Linked DNA regions of Yarrowia lipolytica. The protein of the gene in region 1 interacts with the protein of each later gene in a biochemical or structural test. Links are inferred from orthologs where the notes say so. Each region holds a gene or a part of one and is shown on either strand. Other genes may lie near its edges.

What was found.
Region 2: the proteins of YALI1_E24793g (region 1) and YALI1_E12711g form a complex in vitro, tested with the Saccharomyces cerevisiae proteins (2 studies listed by BioGRID). The link is inferred for Yarrowia lipolytica from reciprocal best matches to the Saccharomyces cerevisiae genes CKB1 and ELF1.

What each region holds. Positions count from the first base shown.
Region 1 is NC_090774.1:2,478,011-2,481,133, reverse strand, and holds YALI1_E24793g (uncharacterized protein), read left to right. Parts: upstream 1-1,801; coding exon 1,802-2,584; downstream 2,585-3,123. Other genes in the region: YALI1_E24797g (uncharacterized protein), read right to left, coding at 726-1,226, 1,276-1,449; YALI1_E24762g (uncharacterized protein), read right to left, coding at 2,985-3,123. UniProt on the Saccharomyces cerevisiae protein: Regulatory subunit of casein kinase II/CK2.
Region 2 is NC_090774.1:1,269,290-1,272,781, reverse strand, and holds YALI1_E12711g (uncharacterized protein), read right to left. Parts: upstream 1,619-3,492; coding exon 1,616-1,618; intron 1,042-1,615; coding exon 694-1,041; downstream 1-693. Other genes in the region: YALI1_E12730g (uncharacterized protein), read left to right, coding at 1-32; YALI1_E12703g (uncharacterized protein), read left to right, coding at 2,457-3,492. UniProt on the Saccharomyces cerevisiae protein: Transcription elongation factor implicated in the maintenance of proper chromatin structure in actively transcribed regions.

The DNA.
Region 1 (3,123 bases):
ACGCCTTTCATTTTCCTGTTTGGGGGAGTCTTGCCGATCGTGTTCCGACGGCATCGGAGTTTGAGTTGCATCCGCTGGCTGCCATCAGCGGCGGACAACTGCGTGCGATTACAAGCCACTCCGTATTTTTATTCAAATCATCATGTCTCTCTCAAGGAAGGGGGGTTTGAAGGGGCGACGGGAAGGCTATAAACAAAGCAGCCGCCCTGTCGTCGCAGAACACCGAGCCCTGCCTATCTGTTCACTAGAAGCTTTTACACTGCCTAGAACAGGTACAGCGGCATAATATCTCAAGACCTGCGGTACTTGTGTACACCAGAAGCACAAAGCCCACACCAATCTCGACTGTATTATTTTAATGCGAGATGCGAGATGCGAGATACGAGCTCACAATGTACTGGTACAAAGAGTCTTGTGACAAGAGATGTCTGGGTGAGTTATAGAACACAATGACGACCTCGGTTCAGATCACGTGCAGAAACTACAGTATAGCTCTAGTATGTCTTGACTTCTACGTCTACGGGTACTACAAAAGTATTGCACTTTTTTAACGCGAGTATCCACTGCTATTCCAACTTCGATAGGAGTAACTGCTTCTACAGGTACTGTACTTGCACAGTAGCTTACTGGAGCTCGTGAATAAGAGGCAACACCCATCGATCTGGTATAATCCACTCACCCTCATATCTATCAATAACAATGAACTATAGCAGTATACCTTTTAATTAGGCCGTCTTGGGCTTGACCTTGTTGCTGCGAAGCATGCCAATGACTCCGACAACCAGAGCCACAAAAATGGTGACAATCAGATCCATGGCAGCGTCACAGATCATCAGCCATGCACTAACGCTGACAGACCCAAGAGGAGCAGAAGAGAAGGATAGGATGTACTCAATTGGGTAGGGAAAGGCGTTTTTAGGGAGCCAGAAGATAGCTGCCTTTCTGTGCTTGATTCGCAGGAACATCTTCATTCCGGTAGTTGACAGGAAGATGGCCGACGAGATGATTGTGAAGAACCGGGCCTTAGAGGCCGTCAGCGAGTTGTTGATGTCTTCAATCTCCACCTTGAGCTTTCCGTACTCTCGATCCAACTTTGCCCATTTTGCAAACTGGTCCTGTGAGCTGGTATTTGATCTCTGGGTATGCACCTCAATTGCTCTCAACTGAGCTTCTTTTCTTCTTCGTAGCTGCTTGGATGGTACGATTCTCGTAATGATTTCCCACAACTGAGTTAGCGACAAGTTTTTGGGGCACTCCCACTCCTTAAGCACTCACAAATTCCTGAATGGCCGGCTTGCCCAGCTTGCTGATGACCTTGGCGTAGAGCACCACAAACGCCACTAGCAAGAGCAGTCCAGCGGCAGGGGCTCGATCGATCGGCACAAATTCGCCAGCAGTGGTCCCCACGGGGGCCACAAATTCGGCATCCACAATGATCGCCTCGTCCATGTCGTTTGTTGTGTGTATGTGAATCGAGAATGCAGTCGTGAGGGCTCACTAATGTTGTGTGCTTACTACGCCCATTAGAGTTCACTATTTTTCTCTGTGACTTGGAGGTTGGGAGGTTCTTTGTATCTGAGAGTTGGAGCAGCGGTTCGAAAATTTAAACAGGACCACCAAGCTCGACGAAAGCGCGCGTTTACCCGTTCACCATCATCTGTGGTGGCATTACCTGACTTGTTGACATCTGGAACCGACAGACATAGAAACTGCACACGACAGGGACACTGCGACGCTCTTTACCATCTGCCACGACCGCCGTCCCCTCACTCTACAGCCACCCCAACACGGAGGGTTTTATATGGAGGACAAACTACTCGAATACAACATGACAGACCCTTCTTCCGAGAGCGAGGAGGTCGAGACCTGGATCTCGCATTACTGTTCGTCGACCGGCCACGATTACTTTGTGGAGGTGTTTGAGGATTTCATCGAAGATGACTTCAACCTGACCGGCCTCATGTTCCTAGTGCCCTACTACAAGGAGGCGTTGGAGATGATTCTGGATCTCGAGCCCGAAGACCCGCTCAAGGTGCCATCCATCCCAATGTTTGAACACTCGGCCGAACTGCTCTATGGCCTCATACACGCTCGATTCCTACTCACCAAGACGGGACTGCAGATTATGGCCAAAAAATATGACGAGGCCCAGTTTGGCACTTGCCCACGATACTACTGCGACGGAACACGCCTGTTGCCCACAGGCCGACACGACCTGCCCGGATACGAGTCTGTGCGGCTCTACTGCCCGTGCTGCTGTGACGTCTACGTGCCGCCCAACTCTCGATACCTCAACGTCGACGGAGCCTTTTTCGGCACCTCCTTCGTGGGACTCTTCCTCAAGATGTTCCCCGAGGTCGAGCGCAACTGCATTCCCCTGCGTAAAAACATATACGAGCTCAAGCTCTTTGGCTTCCGCATCAACGAGATGAGCTACAGCGGCCCGAGGATGAAGTGGCTGCGACAGTACCCAGAGGACCCCAGTGTTCTGGATGAAGAGGACAAACTACCCCCACCACGAACCGACGAAAAGGATGATGATGGAGATGTAAAGCTGGAGACGGACCAGGAGAACCGGGCATGAGCATAAAGGTGGAACATGTATTTAATGACTATGAGACGACAGCCGAGAGTAAGGGTTCTAGTAGTCGGTTCAAGCACATCAGTTGACTACTTTTAGAGGCCGCCAAGTCTCTCTTAACTTTACCGTTTGATTACAACGACTTGCTATAACAGCTACAATCCATGGCAGTAAGGAGATGAGTCACATTCGACAATCTCCCCTCCCCTTAGCTCGTCGCATGTAATACAATTGGTTATAAATAATTACTGAAAAGGAAATATATATATTGTTATTGATAAAAAAAATACGTCAATTACCGTTTATGGTAGAATCAACAAGTACTTGTGGAGTAGTTCTCCTCCATGTCCCTCATGCAAATATATCCAAGCCTCTCTTGCTCTCCCTCCATAGCCCCTGGAAACTAAATCCAAATCTCCTTGGTAATGTTCTGTCGCTTCTGACACTCGTATACGGCAGGAACAGTACCGGAGGAAAAGTAGCAGTACATGTTCTTGATGTATTCGGGGGAGCTTCCGTCAGGAACAAAAGGGCTCTCTCGG
Region 2 (3,492 bases), about 1.2 Mb from region 1:
AGGAGGACCTTTTCCCCAAGCTTGCTGAATAAACGCACTAAAATAGCTAATTGATCGCATATACAAGACACCGCTTGTTTGGTTTCCCTACAAGTACGATAGTGAGCGGCGCACCTGTTGAGGGACATGCTTGTGGAGAGTTGGTGTAGAGCCGGACCATTCTGCTGTATCGTAGCTGTCACGTCACAAGCTGAATAGATCACATATATACTCCGTTCATATCCCTACAAGTACAGTATTCTAATGACTGTAGCATTGGACATCCCGAAACTCGAGCCGCTCTCAATAACATCGCAACCCTATCATGACTGTCATATCAGGGATCGTGTACTGGATGAGTAAACATGCTCTAATGGAAAAAGAAAGCACCGAGAGAAAATGGCCCGACAAGAGTTGTCAGACAAGTTCCGGAGCAATTATTCGGACTTTGTACAAAAAATGAGTACTGTATTTGACAGCTGCACAATGTATGGGTACGTACTCGTACCCGTACATACTGTACTGTAGATACTAGTGATGCCATAAGAAGTCCTCGTCCAATTGTACGAGTATTAGACACTGCGGCTCATGCCCTTTCTTTGGGTACCCTTCCATTCCTACAGCAAGTCAGCATGCCCCCCTTCCACCCCATCCACATTTAATATACATTCTTTTCTTATACATGCACTGTTTGTTCGCCCTGTGAGTTCCGCCTTACTCAAGATCGGAAAACTCATCGTCCTCCTCCTTGGGCACGTGGTCGTCGTCACTAGCATAGCCTCCGTCCTTCTCAATGAACTCGTCATCCTTGTTCTTCTCCTGCTCCGCAACAGCCTCACAGGCGTCGATCCACTCGGAGTAGACATCGATAGGCGCAGACAGAGCGTTGATGCTGGCCTGGAACGACTGGCCACACACCTTGCACGATAGGCTGCCAATGCCCATTTTCTTGTCCATTGAACACACAACCGAGTCGTTGTGGTTGCAAAACAGGCATGCAAACTGGGTTGCCAGCGTTTGTTTCACCTTCTTGGCGGGGGCAGAGGAAGACTTTCGTTTTCCCTGTGTTAGCAGATGTCAAAAACGAGCGAGAGTAGGTGGAGTGGTCGCGGCACATCTGTTCATGAATCATACCAGACGTTAGATTCGACCTGATGAAAGAAGCATGTTGAGCGGCGAATCGAACAATGTAGCAAAACCAAAAAACCGTGACCAGACCACCATCTCGTGCCTGCTTGAAGCGGCGCCCAGATATTTCAGCGGCTGTGGATAACCCGAACGGAAAAGTCAGATGAGCACCACGATAAATACCAACACGGTTCAATGGGGCCTCAGGGTCAACCTCTCGGTGAGGCCATGTCGTCGTGCTTCACTACAGTCGCTGATGAGAAGCCGATAGTATCGAATCGACTTCATAGGAAGACACTCCTATGGGATGGTCGAACCGAACCAGCCGGAAGTACATCCTCGTTCGTGTCATGTCTCGAACCACCCTTGTAATGCGTCTCATGTATGTCATCGCGTAGAGTGATGTCTGAAGTCCCTCTATTGCCGATGATACCACATTCTGTAGTTGCTCTCAAACTAATCAGTCGTTTGTCCAAACCATATGTTTCTCTCCAGCACTCGTACTCACCATGATGTGTTTTTTTGTGTGTATGATAGAGACGCTCTGCAGAGCTTGGATTCTGCGATATTGTATCGAAACTCAAAGTCACGTGGTGCAACGTTGAGGGCAATCGCAATCGACCAGGAGGTGATCAAGACGGTGAATGAAGGTAGCTGGAGAGTAATGTGAGATATCAGGTGATCCGAAACGACCGTTTAATTTAGTCAGCAGAGTTTTAGATAAAAAAATCCGTTGTACTGTACAGTTTGTAGATTGTTGACATGTAGATTTCCTCACTTAGTCATAGTTGACGTTTACTTGGGACAAAGTTATAGTCAACTGAACTGGTCAAGTAGAGTCAACTATACTTAAACGTTTATTAAGTGAGTTCTTCAAAATTTTACCTCCAAATAGATCACACCGTCCCATTAAAAGACAAACACCGCCACAATACACACACAGAACGCCACCCAGACACTGTCGGCACATTCGTAACATTCGACACATTCGACACATTCCTCTACTCGATATGCCCTCCCAATGGTAGTCGGACTTCAGTCAGAGTAACGTTCAGTTGAACTATAGACGACAGGGAGTAGTGAGAACAGGACCACCATATCTAGACCAATAGGTGTCGGATCGACAAGCGAAAAAGTGGGTTTTATTTAGAACAAGTATATATGCGAATTAATGATCTCACAAATGCTATAATCCCAGTCAAAATCTTTGATAATACCTCAATTGGCTCTGCTCAAATCCACCCGCCAGTTTGAGTTTGAAAATCTGCAGCTCTTAAATTTTTTTAGGATTATGCCAAAATTATTTTGCCTGCGATCCACACCCAGACACCAGACTACACAACCCAACAATGGTCGCCAAATCCGCATCCAAGGGAACCCCCAAGGGCACTCCCGTCAAGTCCAAGGTAGCCACTCCCAAATCCGCTGCCAAGGGAACCCCCAAGGGAACCCCCAAGGGTACTCCTAAGGGCACTCCTAAGGGCACTCCTAAGAGCACCAAGTCAGCCAAGGCTGCTGTTGACACCCCTACCAAGGGCGATACTCCCTCAAAAGCCACTCCCACTAAACGACGATCCTCCGTGTCCACCGCCGAGACCTCGTCGTGCCCTCTCGCATCCTCCGACAACACAATCAACGCTGCCCAGGCCCTGCTGAAGTTCACCCAAAAGCAGGCCGAAGAGGACGCCAACAACCTGCTTGCCGACGACAACGAGGAGCAGTTTATCTACCTGGTCATCACCTCCAAGCGGTTTGTGTCTTCCGAGAAGGCCCAGGTCCCCACCTTGGTCCAGGTCCCCCACGGTCTGTGGACCAAGAGTGCAGAGCAGCCCTCCATCTGCCTGCTGTCCCAGAACCCTCAGAACTCGTACAAGCGAGCTCTCAAGGGCGCCACCACCCCCGCTCTGTCACGAGTGGTTGGAACACAGAAGCTGCGAGGCAAGTTCAAGCCCTACGAGGCCCGACGACAGCTGTTTGCTGCACACGACATCTTTGTGGTTGACGAGGACATCACCGAGGAGATGCCTTTCTGCCTGGGCAAGACCTTTTACAAGAATGGAGCCGTCAAGCTGCCTCTGCCCATCACCGTGCTGCACAAGAAGGAGGAAAAACAGACTCTGATCAAGTCCAAGGCCGAGAGAGTGGTCGAGACTGAAGACATTGATGTCGAGGCCACCCAGCAGGGCCTCTCCAACATCATGACCTCCACCTGGTACCTCAAGAGCCAGTCCAACCACACAAACGTGCGAGTGGCCACAACTCTGTTTACACCCAAGGAGATTGCCGCCAACGTTTACGCCGTGGTTGACCAGTTCACTGCCGATCTGCCCAACGGCTTTGATGGCGTGCGATCCGTCTACCTCAAGACCGGATCGTCTCCCGCAT